Macaca mulatta: one gene and its partners. The protein of the gene in region 3 interacts with the protein of the main gene of each other region in a pairwise test. Links are inferred from orthologs where the notes say so. Each region holds a gene or a part of one and is shown on either strand. Other genes may lie near its edges.

Evidence for each region.
Region 1: the proteins of TRIM42 (region 3) and KCTD9 interact in binary tests that used the Homo sapiens proteins (3 or more experiments, as listed by UniProt). The two-hybrid records come from large-scale screens. The link is inferred for Macaca mulatta from reciprocal best matches to the Homo sapiens genes TRIM42 and KCTD9.
Region 2: the proteins of TRIM42 (region 3) and HOXA1 interact in binary tests that used the Homo sapiens proteins (3 or more experiments, as listed by UniProt). The two-hybrid records come from large-scale screens. The link is inferred for Macaca mulatta from reciprocal best matches to the Homo sapiens genes TRIM42 and HOXA1.
Region 4: the proteins of TRIM42 (region 3) and KLHL38 interact in binary tests that used the Homo sapiens proteins (3 or more experiments, as listed by UniProt). The two-hybrid records come from large-scale screens. The link is inferred for Macaca mulatta from reciprocal best matches to the Homo sapiens genes TRIM42 and KLHL38.
Region 5: the proteins of TRIM42 (region 3) and STK16 interact in binary tests that used the Homo sapiens proteins (3 or more experiments, as listed by UniProt). The two-hybrid records come from large-scale screens. The link is inferred for Macaca mulatta from reciprocal best matches to the Homo sapiens genes TRIM42 and STK16.

The regions. Positions count from the first base shown.
Region 1 is NC_133413.1:27,175,514-27,178,264, reverse strand, and holds the end of KCTD9 (BTB/POZ domain-containing protein KCTD9), read left to right. Parts: intron 1-924; coding exon 925-1,041; 3' UTR 1,042-2,247; downstream 2,248-2,751. UniProt on the Homo sapiens protein: Substrate-specific adapter of a BCR (BTB-CUL3-RBX1) E3 ubiquitin-protein ligase complex, which mediates the ubiquitination of target proteins, leading to their degradation by the proteasome.
Region 2 is NC_133408.1:101,251,808-101,255,882, forward strand, and holds the start of HOXA1 (homeobox protein Hox-A1), read left to right. Parts: upstream 1-1,275; 5' UTR 1,276-1,667; coding exon 1,668-2,319; intron 2,320-2,782; coding exon 2,783-3,138; 3' UTR 3,139-4,075. UniProt on the Homo sapiens protein: Sequence-specific transcription factor. Regulates multiple developmental processes including brainstem, inner and outer ear, abducens nerve and cardiovascular development and morphogenesis as well as cognition and behavior.
Region 3 is NC_133407.1:43,684,339-43,688,573, forward strand, and holds the start of TRIM42 (tripartite motif-containing protein 42), read left to right. Parts: upstream 1-1,421; coding exon 1,422-1,762; intron 1,763-4,235.
Region 4 is NC_133413.1:134,062,671-134,066,864, reverse strand, and holds the start of KLHL38 (kelch-like protein 38), read left to right. Parts: upstream 1-1,382; 5' UTR 1,383-1,625; coding exon 1,626-1,711; intron 1,712-2,367; coding exon 2,368-3,718; intron 3,719-4,194.
Region 5 is NC_133417.1:124,492,859-124,497,050, forward strand, and holds the start of STK16 (serine/threonine-protein kinase 16), read left to right. Parts: upstream 1-1,385; 5' UTR 1,386-1,487; coding exon 1,488-1,573; intron 1,574-2,460; coding exon 2,461-2,680; intron 2,681-2,916; coding exon 2,917-3,050; intron 3,051-3,218; coding exon 3,219-3,339; intron 3,340-3,465; coding exon 3,466-3,561; intron 3,562-3,982; coding exon 3,983-4,104; intron 4,105-4,192. UniProt on the Homo sapiens protein: Membrane-associated protein kinase that phosphorylates on serine and threonine residues. In vitro substrates include DRG1, ENO1 and EIF4EBP1. Also autophosphorylates. May be involved in secretory vesicle trafficking or intracellular signaling.

The DNA of each region.
Region 1 (2,751 bases), on a different chromosome or scaffold from region 3:
GAGATTGCACTCTGGCCTGGGCAACAAGAGCAAAACTCCGTTTTTTTTGTTTGTTTGTGTGTGTGTGTGTGTGTGTGTGTGTGTGTATTTATTTATTTATTATGTTGGAATCCATTTTGTATTTTAAATCAATGGTCCCCGACCTTTTTGGCACCAGGGACTGGTTTTGTGGAAGACAATATTTTCACAGACCAGGGTCAGGGGTGGTTTTGGGATGATTCAAGTGCGTTACATTTATTGTGCACTTTATTTCTACTAGTATTACATTGTAATATATAATGAAATAATTATATAACTCACCATAATGTAGAATCAGTGGGAGCCCTGAGTTTGTTTTCTTGCAAGTAGACATTCGCATCTGGGGATGTTGGAGACAGTGAGAGATCATCAGGCATTAGATTCTCATAAGGAGTACACAACCTGGATTCCTCACATGTGCAGTTCACAATAGGTTTCACTCTCCTATGCGAATCTAATGCCCTTGCTGATCTGACAGAGGTGGAGCTCAGGCTGTAACTTGAGCCATACAGGGAGTGGCTGTAAATACAGATGAAGCTTCATCTACTGGTGACCTCCTGCTGTGTAGCCTGATTCTTAACAGGCCATGGACCAGTATCAGTCTGTGGCCCAGGAGTTGGGGACCTCTGTTTTCAATGTCTCATTTTAAAATATGCAAGAACAAGGGACATGCTTCCTCTTTAACCTTTGTTTATATATATACAGCCTGAACATTAACTAGAGGTAACAAATACAGATAGAATATCATCTTAATTTAGGGTGGTGTATCATCAGTTTTCCGGAAATTAAATGAGTTTTATTGTATAGGAACATTTTCCTAATCTGCCCCAGAAATCGTTTTGAGCAGAAACAGATAAGGCCTGAAATTTCCACATGAATTATGTGAATATTGTTTTCATCTTGCAGAATTGTGATCTGTCTGGGTGTGATCTTCAAGAAGCCAACCTGAGAGGGTCCAACGTGAAGGGAGCTATATTTGAAGAGATGCTGACACCACTACACATGTCACAAAGTGTCAGATGAGAATTTTAGGGGCTGGAGGAAGATATACAAGATGAAAATGTTTTCCTTATCACTTTTCTTTCTCCACCCACTCAGTTGTCTAGAAGAAATAACACCGTAAGGAAATTTAAAAAAAAACATTTAGAGGATTATGCTTGTTCTGAGCGGTGCATAAGGGAAAAAACTGACTTTTTTTCCATTTTCTGATTTTTAACAGAAAAGCACTCATTTAATAGATGTAGGGAAACTAGATATTGCTGCCTTTTGAACGGGGTAGGGGGGTTTACCTGGTTTTATGACCAGGAATAGTATCTATTATATTTGCTTTTAAATAGGCATGATGTGGAAATACCATCTTGGTTTGAGATGCATTTGAGGATTTTAATTTATGGAAAGCACAACATATGCAATTATATTTATTGAATACCTAGATGCAGTATGGATATTTAAATTGTTAAAACTTTATGAAAACTTGGAAAAGGTTGTTCAGGTTTATAAATAGCTTTAGTGATGCCTCCTCTCTTTAAATACCTGTCACACCATATGAATATGGTGAGATCAGACTCCCTAAGACTCTTTTCAGGTTCATTTTTAAAATGTTTACTTTTTAGGACAAAACAGTAGCTAAATTAAAGTAATATCCAGTTCTTACTGATTGAGACAGAGTGGAAAGAAAGACATCATTGTACATCACTGTCATTCCAAAGGTACAGTGGGACTCTGGATGGAGGAAGCACTTACCTATCACTACAACACTTATAAGTGAGAATTTCTCAGAATTTCATTCTAGGCAAGTTCCACTCAACACCAGACCAAGCAATTCTATTTACACTGTTAGCCTAGTTTTCTCATACAATCATCACAAGGATAAGAAGACACTTCAAAACCAAAAAACCAAGGTGCATCATTAATATTCATTTAATTCAAATACCGAATAGTTGACATAGGGCCAGCTTAGAAATAGATACTAAATCCAGAGCTACTGCAATCAAAGCATATATGAATGAAGATGGTAGAGTTGCCTGCTAAAAGGCAATGTAATGTAATTGCAGCTAGAACCCTACAGTGGGGAATGAGGAATTTTAAACACACATTTGATTACAGCCACCAAAAAATATATGTAAAGTAAAAATAAAGGCATTTGGCTGGTCCAAGGTGTAATACCAATCAGTCAGCACCTGTGATTCTTCTACATATATATATATATATATATATATATATATGTGTGTGTGTGTGTGTGTCCTAAACAAATTGTAGCCCAATTTTCTTGAGTCATTATCTCTGCAGCAGCAGAGGAAGGACCTGTACCTCCCTACCAATGACCTGGTGTCCTTATTTCTACCCCAAGAGCAGGGATATTAGCTGTGTCCAAATGGGTTCTGAATTCTACAGACTCATCAACATGAGGCAAGGAATCATTGAAAACCACCTGTGTCTCCTTTGGGAGAATGACATATCTTTAGTATTTACGTAGCTTATTCTTGTATATCTACATATGCAAAGCTTTCCTTAACAGTAAAGGGTACATATGCATAGTGGGAGGAGATCAGACCTTTACAGGTGAAGGAAAGCAACTTCAGAAATGAATTATTTTCTTTGCTTTATTATTTTTACCAAGACAGAGAAGTATTGTATTGAGAGATAATCTATTTTCATAATCAATATGTGCCTAAATTATATTTAAATCATTTCACTCTGTACTATATTTTCAGGAATTATAGAATGTGTTAT
Region 2 (4,075 bases), on a different chromosome or scaffold from region 3:
GACGAGCTCTCGATTTCTCCTACCCAAGACTGCATCAATTATTGGTCTCCGTTTGGCTTTTTCCTCTCTACAAGCCCAGGGTTGACGTGAAACCTAATAGTAAACAACAATTAACGACCTCAGCAGCGTCAGGGTAGAAGGAGGGTGATGGGGAACAGGACCCTTGGCCTGGGATGACGCTCAGATTTTCACGTGTCTCTCTAAGGAAAGACTTGAAGGTTCTCATAAGCAACTACCCAGCCAGTTGGAAAGGGGAGGAGGTGTCGTTGGGGTAAAGTGTTCTGTCCACCATCAGCCATCTGTCCACCGCTCCTCCCACCTGCCAGTCCCCGCACCCACTCTAGACGCGCAGCAGAATGAGGAAGGTTACAAAAGGAAGCTCTCTCTCTCTTCTAACATTCCTCTCCAGAAAAAGAGGAACGCAACGAAGGGAGTTCAGCTACTTTGTTGGAGCTGTGGACCGGCCCTGCGAGGCCCACGCGGGAGCGGAGGCTCCTGGGTCTCGGGCGCCGGCAGATGGCCTGCAGCGCACGGCCCGGCCCCCACGCTGGCCACGTCCGCCAGCGTCATCTCTCTCCCCCGCCTCCTACCCCTAAAAATCCGGCGGTCGAGTAGCTCCGCATCCCGGAGGGCTCCCGCTGCAAAACTGAGTGGGAAAGAAACGGCGGAGAGCGAGGAGAGAGGGAGGGTGGGGAAGAAGAGCCCGGTCGCCCCCGGCCTTTTCCGGCAATCCCTGTTTCCAGGGCTCTTCCGCACCCCCCCTTCCCCGGTCGAATTACAGAAACTCCTCATTGCCATGCTAATGAAGAGCGGGGGCTGTGGGGAGAGGGTTTCGGAGACTCTCCTGGAAGAAGGGAAGTTTCTTTTCTTGCCCTCGTCTCCTTCACCCCCACCCGAGTTCCTCCCACCCAGCCCTCTGCGCTCTTCCCTCTCCATTCCGCGCTTGGAGAGCCGGTGGCCCAGCCTCGCCCCCTGCCACGGTTCTGTGCGCTCCTCACAGCCCCATGGTCTCCCAGCCCAGCCTCAGAGCAGAGAAGGCGGCCTGGGAACCCGGGGCTCGGTGTCAGCCGGATTCCCCGCCTTCCGGTTGGGCGCGCTCCGGGCTGGGCCCGCGAACCTGCGGCCACCCGGCGAACTCCGGCCCACTAACTCGCGCCCCGAGAGAGCCGGGAGCCCTCTTCCCTTCTCACCTCTCGCCAGTTCATCTTTCAGTGCACAGTGGGGAGGGGGCGGGAGCGGGGGACGCCTCTCAGCCCCCACCTCCCGGAGGCCTGGCGGGGCGGGCAGCGGAGTCGGGCGCGCGCAGAAGGCAGCCTTTGCTCTTCTTCGCTCCAGCACTCCAAATCGGCCGTTGCAGTCGCCGCAGCAGCTGCCGCCGCCTGGGCTGCCTGGGGGGGCGACTGCGCGTCACCTAGACGGCGGAGCGCCGGGGATTTAAATGCCACTGAAACGGTGATCCATCACCGCGGAAGCCGGCAAACTTTTGCAGGAGGCTCAGCCATTGGCTGACACCGTCACGTGCCCCTCCCCTAGCGTCCTCCGCCCTCCCGCCCCCCCCTCTTGCGCACTGTACATTCATATCATTTTTCTTCTCAGGCCCCATGGAGGAAGTGAGAAAGTTGGCACGGTCACCCAGGGCTTCGCAGGACCAGGTCACTCAGTGACAGATGGACAATGCAAGAATGAACTCCTTCCTGGAATACCCCATCCTTAGCAGTGGCGACTCGGGGACCTGCTCAGCCCGAGCCTACCCCTCGGACCATGGGATTACAACTTTCCAGTCGTGCGCGGTCAGTACCAACAGCTGCGGCGGCGACGACCGCTTCCTAGTGGGCAGGGGGGTGCAGATCGGTTCGCCTCACCACCACCACCACCACCACCATCACCACCCCCCGCCGGCTACCTACCAGACTTCCGGGAACCTGGGGGTGTCCTACTCCCACTCGAGTTGTGGTCCAAGCTATGGCTCACAGAACTTCAGTGCGCCTTACAGCCCCTACGCGTTAAATCAGGAAGCAGACGTAAGTGGTGGGTACCCCCAGTGCGCTCCCGCTGTTTACTCTGGAAATCTCTCATCTCCCATGGTACAGCATCACCACCACCACCAGGGTTATGCCGGGGGCGCGGTGGGCTCGCCTCAGTACATTCACCACTCATATGGACAAGAGCACCAGAGCCTGGCCCTGGCTACGTATAATAACTCCTTGTCCCCTCTCCACGCCAGCCACCAAGAAGCCTGTCGCTCTCCTGCATCGGAGACATCTTCTCCAGCGCAGACTTTTGACTGGATGAAAGTCAAAAGAAACCCTCCCAAAACAGGTCAGTCCTGGGGGTTGGTGGATGCTCCTTGATTAATCTGGAAGGAGCTGGTATGCTTAATTTCCAAGGAAAATTAATAATTATCTTTTTTTTTTTAAAGGCTTTAAGACTAGTGTTGTAGTGCATGGAGAGGGTACCCAGAGGTGTTGGGGCAAAGAAGCCTCAGGGATTGGCGTGTTCTCAAGGATTTTATACATTTGGGAAGTAGGAAGTGTGTGGGGGTGGTTATTGTGACGGTAGTGTTCTGTTAATATCTTAAGGCTCCATTAATCACCGATCTGACCACGCTAATGGTTGACTTCAGGTTAACACTTTACACCTCATCACTCACCCTCCACAGCCCGATTTGTGTTGAGTTCTTGATCTTTTCTTTACCTGAGTGTTGCCATGAAGTGTGTAGGTAATCTCAAGTCGGTTTAAAAATTTTTACCTTTCCATCTCATGGCTTCCCACTTTGCCCCAGGGAAAGTTGGAGAGTATGGCTACCTGGGTCAACCCAACGCGGTGCGCACCAACTTCACTACCAAGCAGCTCACGGAGCTGGAGAAGGAGTTCCACTTCAACAAGTACCTGACGCGTGCCCGCAGGGTGGAGATCGCTGCATCCCTGCAGCTTAACGAGACCCAAGTGAAGATCTGGTTCCAGAACCGCCGAATGAAGCAAAAGAAACGTGAGAAGGAGGGTCTCTTGCCCATCTCTCCAGCCACCCCGCCAGGAAACGACGAGAAGGCTGAGGAATCCTCAGAGAAGTCCAGCTCTTCGCCCTGCGTTCCTTCCCCGGGGTCTTCTACCTCAGACACTCTGACTACCTCCCACTAAGGCGGCTCCAGTCCCAGACCACAGCCCAGGCATCTCCTTGGGCTGGGACTTCTTACCCAAAGCACATGCTTAGCTTATCTTTCTTTCCATTTACAGTCTCTTCTTTTCTGATCCTATCTGGGGAGCTCCTGGCCAGGATAATATGTTTGCAGATAATTCTGGACCAGAGACTTGGTGCCGGGTTAACACCTTAATCCAGATTGGGTGCCAGCACACATTTTCTGGTGGGCCTTAACATCCCTCCTGATTTTAGGAGAATTCACAGAACCTACTGTTCCTTTCAGATGACTTTTTGGAAAATAGTTCCCTTTACCAACAGAAACATGCCAGAAGGAATCTTCTCATCTTTTATCTAACTATATGTACAGCTCTCTCCTCCCTTGTCCTTGAAAGTAGGATATAGTGAAAGGAGAGTCCAGGAGCTCACGAAGAAGAGATACACTGTGTGTTTACACAATTAATTCATCCCTTAATTTAAGTCATTTTCATGTGTGTGAGTTTGCTGGTTGTGAATACTTTGTCCTAAGAGATTTATCTTTATACAGATTTTCTAGAAATGTTTAGGTTACTAAAACAGGGTGGGCAAACTCTCAAAACTGGCACAATTTTATAAGTGAAAGAACAAATTTCCTCATTTAAATCCAATCAGATGCCTCAGAGGGTAGCCTCGATTTGTTCTTACAGTTAAGAAGCCCTGCAGAGCACAAAGTTCAGAAATCCAGCTTCCTGTGCTAAGTCTTTCCCAATCCCCACTCCTTTCTTCTTGGGCCACCCTCTGTTTAAAATTTGTGCTGGGTTATTCAGAACCTAAAAGTATTATTCAAACCAGCTTCTTCCTTCCACAGTTATCTTAGTTGGATATAATGTATTTTCAGGTCAATTGTTAATGTGATGGATGGCACAATGAATGTATATTTTGTGTGATTCGTGAATAGTC
Region 3 (4,235 bases):
TAAGTTTTTAATAAGACCTTACAGAAAGCAATCGTGAAAATGTATCATAAATCTGGGAATGAAACTCTAACCTGTGTGCCTGGAGAACGGAGAGAGATATTGATAAAACTCAGTTTTGGCAAACATGTGGGGAAAAGGTGTTTCACTTTTTTGAATGTCTTATATTCCTTGCTGGTATTAACTGGCACATTTGAGTAAGAAACTGAGCGTTTTGCATTAAAAAAAGACAGATAAAGCACATACCCTATGATCCAGGATTTTCACTTGTAGAAATCTAGTATCGATGTGTGGCTGGCATAGTTGGCACTCAGTGATTTTCTCTCCTATTATAAAGGTGATAACCATAGGGAGAGATAATAAATTATGCAGTAAATTCCTGCAGCCAAACTCAGCTCTCACTTCTGCTTTTTATAAAAATAAGACAGTATTCATACTCTAATGTACCATGACCATGAAATTTCTGTTCTTTTAATCTTTGCAAGTTGCATAAATGGGAAAGCGAAATTCTTCCCTAAAATATAGGGTCTTTTTTCTAGGGATACTGAGCGTATACTAGCAGAACAGTTAAAGATTTCACGTAGAGTTCCAGCCTCTTTTTGGAGTGGGAGTAGGATGGGAAAAGACAGAAAGCCTGAACCTCACCCAAACACCATGAAGCTACAAAAAAGCAAAGAAATATTCAGAGTGACTTATGTATAAAGCTTCATGAAAATGAGCAGTGACTATGCATTGATAAAAATCAATTACTACTGAAAGAAGTTCCTAAGTGAACCTGTATATATTTTTTCTTTAACTCTCTCTCTGAATGGTGATATCTCTTTAAACATGGCATTGGTAATATTTGTAAACACTGTCCTTCGTTCAAATAGAATTCTATCAATTCCGCTAACGTGGAAAAACATGTGAATCTACTTTTCTAATTAACCATACCCAAGTCTTTCAGTCTATGAAGACATAATCTGAAGTCCACTTGCCCAAATCGCAGGCAGAACACCAAACAAGGAGAAATAACTTCAGAAATCTACTCCATTATCCAAAAGGTGACAAATGACAACTAAACTTCCAGGATGCTCATTGCATCACCACTCCTCTACAGCTGGTTCCATAGAAGCATGGAGTGTTCACCAACATACCTGCTACCACCCACAAGGCCGCATCCTCCTACCCACCCAGCATGGTAGAGACACAGGGATTGTGACATAAGCAAATACCCTCAGACTGATATATGTAAATGCCAGCCTACGAGCTTCCTGGTAGGGACACCAGCTGTGAAGGCCTCATAACAGCCAACTTCTTGCAACTCTCAAGCTGACGGCCTCACGCAGGGGAGGAAGGACTCCTCCACTGGAGAACTGATAGCAGTATTCTGGTAGAGGAGGCATCAAGAGCCCTAGGAGGCCAGCGGTAATCATGTAGGCGCCATGGAAACTGCTATGTGCGTTTGCTGTCCATGTTGTACATGGCAGAGATGCTGTCCTCAGTTATGCTCCTGTCTGTGCTGCAAGTTCATCTTCACCTCAGAGCGGAACTGCACCTGCTTCCCCTGCCCTTACAAAGATGAGCGGAACTGCCAGTTCTGCCACTGCACCTGTTCTGAGAGCCCCAACTGCCATTGGTGTTGCTGCTCTTGGGCCAATGATCCCAACTGTAAGTGCTGCTGCACAGCCAGCAGCAATGTTAGGTGCTACTACTATGAGAGTCGCTGCTGCCGCAATACCATCGTCACTTTCCGCAAGGGCCGCCTCAGGAGCGTCCATATCTCGTAAGTGTCAGACACTGGATGTGGGGCCACATTGGCTCATGAAAACTAGGGACCACTTGCCAGCTGTGAAGTCCACAGGGCAGGCCAGTGCGCCTCTGAGTTCATTTCTTTATCTAAAAGAAGGAGCTAAGAATTTTGTAGCAATTAACTGTATCCTAAATGGTCACTATATATGTAGACCATGAGTTCCAAATCTAAGCACCATTAACTATGAAAATGAGCACTTCACTCCTCTGAACCCCAACTCTCTCATCTGTACAAAATAGTAATAGCTAATAGTGCTTAAGCAACTTGCCAGGAACTTCATGCATGACCCCAGCTAACCCCTCACCCTAAGTCCACTGTTTCCATGAGGAAACTGAGCCTTTGAGAAGTAAAGTTGTCCCAGGATCACACAGCTGGAAAGATGCAGTCAGGATTGGAACCTAAAATTTGGGATCTTAACTTTAAAATGCTATATTGCAAAATGGAGACAATACCCCCTTCCCATGATATTGTAGATATAAGGATTAATGTACATGCTTTGTAATCTGTATGTGATATAAAAATATAAACTGCTCTTTCTCTTCCTATGAACTCTTAATACCTGCAACATTTAATGGAAAAGAATTTCTACAGGGTACTTTTGACCCTGAGGATCATATAAATACCCCATACATCCATGAACTCCTACTACCTTGTTTTTCCCATCCAGAAGTCATAGTACTCAGGGTCTCAATTACGCATTTGGAGTACTAACCCTCCATATTAGGTCCTACATTATCCTCACCTGCTCTACCAAACCAGTCTTTTTACGTCACAGATGAGGGGAGTCTGAAGTAGTAAGAGCACACTTCTTAGAAGGGGAAAGATGACATCACCATAAGATGACAGGATTAGAAGAGGCAGAAAAATAGAAGGCAGTTAGAAGGCTTTCAAGCCTGGAAAAGCAATTCTGTAAGCAAAGGTTTGGTGAATTCAGGTGAAAGATATTATCCATCTTGCAATTAAACATTAAGTAGATGCTTAACAAACATAACTCTCCACCCATGACCCTCTCATAGTGTTTGCATAAATAGGAAATCCAGGGATTCTCGATGCAAGTCTAGAAATCCTAAAGCATGGACAATAGTGTCCACACTCCTCTCTTAACTACCTCATTTTCTGTGCTGCAGCAGCTGAACCTCTGAGCCCATTTCAACAGGAAAGGGATAAAATTGGTGCTTTAGGAAAATGCCTTAGGCTCAGTAGCTCCCCAACGTTATTGTGCATTGAAGTCACCTGGGGATCTTTTAAAATTACTGATGCCTGATCCCCACCCCCAAAACATTGATTTTATTGGTCTGGGGTACCACCTGAGCATCTGAATTAATTAGAATCAACCCCCGCCTTCAGGTGATTCTAATGTGTAGAATGGCCTGCAGGGGGCTAGGAGGGAAGCCAGGAGATTTGGCAGGTGATCCAGCAAGAATCCAGGTGCAAGAACAGGCCTGATTTTGGGAGAGAGGGGGTTGTGCAGAGGAGCAGAGACAGGATATCTCAGCAAGAAGATAAAAGCGCTGGGCTTGATGACTGTTTTGAAATGGAACCATGGCCACTGAATGCCCCATCCGAGCCTAAGGCTTTTGGAGGATGGGCAGGGATGCTACCACAAGTGTTAGGAGGTCAGCTGTGGGTGCTTTTCTTCAATCTAGCCTCTCTCCTGGCTTCTGACCCTCTGCCTCCCCTGTTTCTCATCACCACTTTCTGTTCAGCACCTTGCTTGTCCTGCCTCACTCTGGTCTCAGGCATCCCTCTCCATCTTAGTCTTTTTCCCACTTCCTTTTCACCTCTAACACAGCTACCTAGGCCATTAATACCTGTCTCTTAGCCCTGAGACCTCTTTCTCGTCCTCCAACACCTCCCTCCCCCCTTCTTCTTTCTTTTTTGTGAAAATGCTAGCTCATGAGCTTCCTACTAGAGATACCTGCTGTGAAGGCCTCATAACAGTCTCTCTTTATATTATACCTCCAGTCCTTACTTTTTTAGCAAACTAAAGTCCATCTGGGCACTACATGGACAATTGACCTGTACCTCCAGGTGATCCCTTAAGGACCCATGCAGGAATCTGGGAAAGCAGAGAGGAAACAGAGCTGAGAACATCGAGGCCAGCATGCCTGGAGTTCCCAGATCCCTAAGGGACAAATTTTCCAGGTGCCTTAATCCACACAGGAAGCATTCTCTGTCACCACAGGGCCACTCCATTCCAATATACTTGGGAAGCACCTGTGACTGTCTGGACTCAGACATAGGGAGTGGGGAAGACAGGGACACATAAGGAATGCAAGAAGACAAAAGTAGAAAGAAACACAGCCACAATGTCAAGATTAGTATCCAAATACTATTATGCAAACAGAGGAGAGAGCAATAGCGGCAAATTGTGTGCCTATTTACACCTCCATTCCCACAGCTAATTCATTTATTTTTATACACTGCATTTGCTGATTGTAAGTTC
Region 4 (4,194 bases), on a different chromosome or scaffold from region 3:
CTTAGCTTAGGCCTCCTGCTCCTAATTCTGGCCTCCAGGCCCGTGGCCCCAGTAACATGTTTTGGATCCATTTCCTTGGCCTTGACCTTCTGGACTCTTGGGCATAATCCACTCTACGATCTGCAACTGTGAATGAGAGACCCTCTTCCTTCCACCCTGTCCTGTGGTGTCCCAAAGACCAGGTCAGCCCAGCTTCCCCAACAGCGACCAGATGCATACAAACATCTGTAAGTGTCTCACGGAGCTAAACTACTACACATGAGTGGCAGTAGACGTGGTTCCAGAGGCAGACAGGACACCAGTCCGATTCCAGCTAAGGAGTCCTGCGGACACGGGGAGCCACTGAAGGGCCTGATGCTGAGAACTGGCAAATTCTGAGTTGCCTTCCCAGGGGCTGCTCCAGAGGGGACAGGGTGGATGTATTGGAGAGAGAAGCACTAGGAGCAAAGAAAAAAAAAATGCATGGGAAGCCATCGCACTAGTCTGAGCAAGATTTTGAGTAGGAGACGAAGTCAGGCTTGCCTGCCTTTCGTGGCTAGGACAATCACGAATCTCCCTGACGGCAGGGGCAGGACAGACCTGAGGTCCCCTTCACTCTTTCTCGTGATTCTGATTGTTATTGAAAGCTGCCTCCTACCACATCACTCTCCTCATTCCTCCCCCAATTCTCTACCTCCTTCTCTTCCTCCTCCTCCTCTTCCTCCTCTATTCTCTCTCCCTCCCTCTGTCCCTGCTTCTTCTTCCTCCTCATCCCCCTTTGTCTTCTTTCTCTCTCTCCCTAAAGCAATATGGCTTGCCTCCTGCCTCTAGCTCAAGCTGCCAGACCAGACAAAATGGAAAAGTAAGACAGAAAAGGAAGTCTGAACTATAAAAAGCCAGCTGAAGAGCAATCAGCACGTGTCTGGGAGAGGCAGACGTGACAGGAGGAGCTCGGCCTTGCAACTGTCAATCAGAGGCTCCCGAGTAAGGAGACCCGACAAAGGTCTGGGCCTTCATGAGTCTGGAAACCCTGGGGTGCTCAACAAAAAAAAAACAACTCTTGTCATGGATTTCATCACCTAGGCTCCTGGAGGAGGAAATCACAGCTCTCCCCAGCAATCCTGCCAGGCAGATGGGGGGAAATAGGGATCCATTGAATAGCATCCACAGGCTCATGCTCCGGCTTCCCTTGTGACCACCTGCCACCTTCACTGTGGCCCAGAACCATCTTCAGTGACTCTCCACAGGTCACAGCAACCTGTTTACAGACAGCTAGAATTCCCAGGCACTTTTAGGACAGGGGACTCGGGATGGTTCCAAGCAGACAGCAAAGTCTTCTCTAACAGAAGCCACTCCTCCCAATCTATTTTTGCCGATGTAAACACTTGCCAAGGAAACACGGCATGTGGGCATGCGCGGGCCCTGCAGGCCCTCGGGTTGCTGCAAAAGGCAACTGGAAAGTCACATGTCATAACAGTGGAAAGTACATATGCAACTATTCTTAGCCCTGGAATGTATACACTGTCTCCTTGGCCAGCAGTCCTTGCACAAAGCTCTAGAAAACTATGAAAGTGCCTTCAGCATAAACAAATCCAGAAATCTCCCAGGACAAATCATTTGCCAACTGAAAGAAAGGCCTGGAGTTTATGGTTTCCCTCAGAGCTAGAGGTAGAAACTCTCCAGGGGGACAAGCCAGACCAGGCACCAGTGGATGTCACCGCGGCAAAACAAGGTAAGTATCCCTCATGCTTATTTCTTCTGCAGGTAGACAGCCAGGTGTCATCCAATAAACCAGGGGATTGTTTGGTCTTTCCTTCTATTTATTCCATCTTTAAAGCAAGACTCAATGAAGTTATATTTAAATATATGTATCAAAGGTCCATTTTCTTCCCTCATTTCTGTCCAGTGACCAGAGGGCCACACCTCCAGAGTGTCACCTTTGGGGAATGATTGACACCCAGAAAGAGATGTTTAGACAAGTTTACTCAATAACAGATATGCCATCGATCTGGAAAAAGGCTCAGGAACTTCTGCTGGCCAAATGCATGGACTGTTATCTTGCTTCAGACTAACATTTCAGCTTCTGATAATAGAGTAACTTCCAACAACTTTAGTTTGTTTGGTTGGTTGTTTCTCTCAGATTAGCTGAAGATACTATATGCTTATTACTTTCGAAAATAACCATAACCCAAAAGAGCTCAGGTCTGAGATGTATGTGGCCTTCCTTTCCAATCTTCCCTACACAATATCCGTGGCGACATCCACAAACATCATGGGGAATGGAATAGGAGCACTGGTCTTACAGTCCCCGCAGCTGAACCCTCCAGCACCTGAGCTGAGAAAGACTTGACTCTTGCTGACTCTGGGGGCTTCCTTCCCTCTTTGTAGGATGGACGAGGAGTCTCCAGATGGGGTGCTCTTCAAAGATCATGACTTCTCTTCTGACTTGTTGAGGCAGCTCAACAGCTTAAGGCAAAGCAGGATCCTGACTGATGTGAGCATCTGTGCCGGTGCCCGGGAGATCCCCTGCCACCGCAACGTGCTGGCCTCCAGCAGCCCCTACTTCAGGGCTATGTTCTGCAGCAGCTTCCGGGAGAAGAGTGAAGCCAAAGTGCAGCTGAAAGGCATTGACCCCCCAACCCTGGACCAGATCGTCTCCTACGTGTACACGGGGGAGGCACGCATCGATGCTGACAATGTCCTCCCCGTAATGGAGGCCGCCTCCATGCTACAGTTCCCCAAGCTGTTTGAGGCCTGCTCCTCATACCTGCAGAGCCAGCTGGCCCCCAGCAACTGCCTGGGCATGATCAGACTCTCAGAAATCTTAAGCTGCGAGACCCTCAAGAAGAAAGCCAGGGAGGTGGCACTGACGTCCTTCCCAGAGGTGGCCGCATCAGCCGACCTGAAGGAGCTCTGTGCCTTGGAGTTGAGAGACTATCTGGGAGATGATGGGCTCTGTGGGGAGGAAGAAAAGGTGTTTGAGGCCCTCATGGTTTGGATCAAGCATGACCTCCAGGCCCGGAAGCGATACATGCAGGAACTGTTCAAGCAGGTCAGGCTGCAGTACATCCACCCAGCCTTCTTCCAACACTTCATCGCCAACGATGCCCTCCTGCAGTCCTCGCCTGCATGCCAGCTCATCTTGGAGACCGCCAAAAGACAGATGTTCTCTTTGTGTGGCACCAGCGCCCCAGACTGCAAACTCCTATTGCATGTCCCTCCAAGAAACTCTTACCAAGATTTCCTCATCCTCTTGGGCGGAAGGAAGGACAGCCAGCAGACCACCAGGGACGTCCTACTGTATAGCAAACAGACTGGCCAATGGCAGAGCCTTGCCAAACTCCCGACACGGCTGTACAAGGCCTCTGCTGTCACCTTGCACCGCAGCGTCTACGTGCTGGGGGGCATGGCTGTCAGCTCAGGGAGGAGTCTGGTCAGTCATAACGTCTACATCTTCTCCCTCAAACTCAACCAGTGGAGGCTGGGGGAGCCCATGCTGGTGGCCCGCTACTCCCACAGAAGCTCTGCCCATAAGAACTTCATCTTCTCCATCGGGGGTATTGGAGAAGGGCAGGAGCTCATGGGCTCCATGGAAAGATATGACAGCATCTGCAATGTCTGGGAGAGTATGGCCAGCATGCCCGTGGGGGTGCTCCACCCCGCAGTCGCTGTGAAAGACCAAAGACTCTATCTCTTTGGAGGAGAGGACATCATGCAGAACCCTGTGCGCCTTATCCAGGTAAATGACTGGTTCTTCCCATCACATAACTGCATGAGTATGTGTGCATGGACACACCCACACCTGCATGCACACACATGCACATGCACACATATACACCAACACACACACGTACATACATACATATATGCACACATATACACAAATACACATATGTATACATGCACACACATATATATGCACGAATGTATATTCATGCATACATACATACACGTATGCACATATGTATGCACATACCAACATGCATACATGTGCACATGTGTACACATATGCACACATGTATGCGCATACCAACAAGCATACATGTGCACATGCATACACACATACAATTCATGCACACATACACACATATATCTGCACATACATGCACACATTTATACATACACGTGAACACAAATACATGCACACACATGTACACCCATGTACACTCATACAAACACTTGTCATTTGCAAGGAAAGAAGAGAGGAAGGGAGGG
Region 5 (4,192 bases), on a different chromosome or scaffold from region 3:
CTCCTGGCCATTCCACCTTCTTTGGAAGTGCACCCCTCTCCAGCTTACCCTGCCTGCCTCAGCAACAGATGTTAAGGACAACTGCTTTGTGCCAAGGCTTGGAAACTTGTGAATTTCCTTTTCTTTTGACTTTACAATCTCAAGAATGGGATGTGAAGATCAGGGTAATAATAATTACTGTTTATTGACATGTACTGAAGGCTATGTGTCAGATATTGTATTAAACACTGTACATCTAATTTAATCTTCAAACAACTCCATGAAGTAGATAATTATCATTTCCATTTTACAGAGGAGGAGAGGAAAGGAGGGAAACATTAAGTAGCCTGTCCAAGGTCACACAACTACGTTAACAGAGCTGGCGTTTGAACTAGTCAGTCTGGCCTCACAGTTAAGCTACTTAACATTAGGTACTATTATACCTATTTTACAGCTACTAAAAGTAAGGATCCGAGAGGTTAAGTAACTTGCCCGAGGTTACACACCTAGTATGCTATTAACACTCAATTTAGAAACTGAAAGTCTGGTTCACAAGCCTGAGCTCTTAACCACTGAGAGTAGAGGTAGTGGGATACAGGCCAGAGCCCGGAAGGTTGTAAGGGATCAGGAGACCAGGCCACCAGACCCGCCCCTACCTGGAATCCCCTCCGGGCTGCAGTGTAGTAGCCGCTTTCTGCCCCAGAGCGCCGGAGGTATGAAGCCTCCTACCTCCAACATTGGGAGATGGAGGTCCTGGGGGCCTCGGGCCGAGCCCGGCTTTGCTCCCCTTTGGCGCAGATGCCTGCGTCTTGACCCCCACTGAAGGCCAAGTAGAGAACCCTCACCAGGGTCCTGGGACCCGTCCACCCCTAGACCTAGCTCGCCCTGGGCCTCTCAGCTCCGCGCCCCCACATCCTCCAGATGCCCAGCGGTTGCTAAGATACCGCGGGCCGTTACGCCGCCGCGGACTGATGATGTCAGCACTGCTTCCGGTCGGTGGCGCTTCGCTCTGTCCCGAGCCAGGTCAGTCGGGGAGTGCAGGCTGGCCCATTCCAGACTCTGGGCTCCTAGGCCGGGGGTGGGCCCTGCCAGGAGTGGGCGTGAGCTTCGCACGTCCTCTGAAACTACGCTGTGCTCTGTCTTTGCGGCGCGACGGGTGTGGGAGCGGGGCCTGCCCAAAGGTGGGCTGGGGTTGGAGGAAGTGGCCCGGTAGCCGCTGTGTATCCTGAGGCCATAAGGCCCCTGACCCCCGCCGCTTGAAGCTGGCGAAGGAGCAAGGCCCATTTTCTCTAGACAATAGTGTAGGTTCCAGAGACCTGGGCCTGAGCTCTCCGCCTTGGTACTTCATGAGTCGTCTAGATTGTGCCGGACCTGTGTGAGACCCTGCCGTTGTTTTCTTTCCAGCATGATCCGCTTGGCCCCCAGCGCATCTCCTGGAAGAGCCCACTCACCCTGGACGAGCTCTTCGGTAGCCTCAGACTGTCCTTGAAGAGGATGACTGAAACATTATGGGCCACGCGCTGTGTGTCTGCTCTCGGGGAACTGTCATCATTGACAATAAGCGCTACCTCTTCATCCAGAAACTGGGGGAGGGGTGAGTGTTTGGAAGTCAGTTAACTAGGCCTCAAGGTTGTGGTCATTGAAGGAAAGCGGTGTGCACGTGCTTGGGGCACAAGGGTTTTATCCCTATCCCTATCTCCTCTCACCTGACAGAGCCTAGCTACACAGCATCAAGAAGGTGGATTCTGGAGCCAGGCCTGCTAAATCCACCTCATGTGACCTTGATAAACCATGTTTTTTTCATATGTTTAATGGAGATGATTATCATCCCTCACTGATGGAGTTGTGAGGATTAAATGAGATAATGTGTATAAAATGTCTCACCCAGTGCGTGGTTCTTAAGTACTTGATAAGTGTTGGCTATTATGGGCCGGGCGCGGTGGCTCAAGCCTGTAATCCCAGCACTTTGGGAGGCCGAGACGGGCGAATCACGAGGTCAGGAGATCGAGACCATCCTGGCTAACACGGTGAAACCCCATCTCTACTAAAAAATACAAAAAACTAGCCAGGCGAAGTGGCAGGCGCCTGTGGTCCCAGCTACTCGGGAGGCTGAGGCAGGAGAATGGCGTAAACCCGGGAGGCGGAGCTTGCAGTGAGCTGAGATCCGGCCACTGCACTCCAGCCTGGGTGACAGAGCCAGACTCAGTCTCAAAAAAAAAAAAAAAAAAAGTGTTGGCTATTATTTATTTAGCATCTGTCACGTGCAGAGGTCTCTATTACGACCATAGGACCTCAAAGATTTCTGTATCTCTGCTCCTGAGGAGCTCACAGTGTAATATTCTTCAGATTTCTCTTAGAGCCACATCTTGGGAGGGTTTCTGCTAAATGGGAAGGACACCCCACTCCCCACCAGGAAATTTCGCTAGGTCTTAGCCATGTGGGAGATGACCATGACCCTTCATTGACCCCTTTGGCCCACAGTGGGTTCAGCTATGTGGACCTAGTGGAAGGGTTACATGATGGACACTTCTACGCCCTGAAGCGAATCCTGTGTCACGAGCAGCAGGACCGGGAGGAGGCCCAGCGAGAAGCCGACATGCATCGCCTCTTCAGTCACCCAAACATCCTTCGCCTCGTGGCTTACTGTCTGAGGGAGCGGGGTGCTAAGCATGAGGCCTGGCTGCTGCTACCGTTCTTCAAGGTCAGAAAGACTCCCGGTTATGGAGGGGGTTGCAACAGAGCCACCTACCCATGGGCTATGTGAGCAGTCCAGCATGTTAGGAAGCAGGGACCATGTCCTGGGTTTGGCCACTTTAGATTTTGAGTTTGAGGTGTGTATCATGAAAGGGCTGATAGGCTTTGACATAGGGAAGGGATCAGGCCTAAGGAGCAGAGGCTCCAAAAACATCTCCAACTGTAGGGAAACTTGTGTTGCAGAGAGGTACGCTGTGGAATGAGATAGAAAGGCTGAAGGACAAAGGCAACTTCCTGACTGAGGATCAAATCCTTTGGCTGCTGCTGGGGATCTGCAGAGGCCTTGAGGCCATTCATGCCAAGGGTTATGCCCACAGGTCAGTGGGAGGACCCTGTATGCTTGCTGGGGCCCAGAGGAAGAGCCTTACCAAGAGAAATGGGAGGTTTCTGTTCTCCCAAGAAACAGCCTGTATGATTCTTTTGCTTGCTGGGATTCCAGCCTTCCTGTCCAGAGATGCTCATAGGTCACTTCTACTTCCCTACAGGGACTTGAAGCCCACCAATATATTGCTCGGAGATGAGGGGCAGCCAGTTTTAATGGACTTGGGTTCTATGAATCAAGCATGCATCAATGTGGAGGGCTCCCGCCAGGCTCTGACCCTGCAGGTAAAAAAATCTCCAGGTTCCTTTTCTCACCTGTTCCCCATTCCCACCCCTTCTGGTGCATGCCCCAGTTTGGTCACATGACCATGACGAGTGCCCCACTTTTGAGCTCTGGGATCACTGTTCCAGGACTGGGCAGCCCAGCGGTGCACCATCTCCTACCGAGCCCCAGAGCTCTTCTCTGTGCAGAGTCACTGTGTCATCGATGAGCGGACTGATGTCTGGGTGAGGAGCATGTGGGTGGGTATCTGGGTAGGGAGGGCTGTGGCTCTGTACCTGCTGTGGAGTAGAGTAGGTCGTTGGTTTCTGTTGCATGGGGCCCCAGGAACCACAGTATGTCCCCATCCACTTCAACTTCCTTCCTGGGAACTGTCACTGATACTGTACCCAGTTGCACCGGATGTGGTATAATCCCTGCCCCGAACAAGGTGAGTACAGCTCAGTATCAGTACTGAAGAGCAGGGGCTAAGCTAAGCAGGGGCTGCGGAGGCCTCCAACCGACTGGCAGTTTCTCTGTGCCCTGGTGGTGCCATGTGGCTGAGGTCAGCTTATTCTTTTTAGCTTATGTAGTCTTTTACCACAGAAGTAAGGGGAGCGATGTTATCTCCATTGGTCCCCTTCTAGGGACTAACCAAGTTATGCTCAGTCCCTAGGCTGCGTGCTATATGCCATGATGTTTGGAGAAGGCCCTTATGACATGGTGTTCCAAAAGGGTGACAGTGTGGCCCTTGCTGTGCAGAACCAACTCAGCATCCCACAAAGCCCCAGGTGAGCAAGCAACGAATGGGGCATCAAGTACTTCAGACTGCCCCCTGGTATTAGCTGGGTTGACAGATAGGTGTCATCCAGTCCCCCT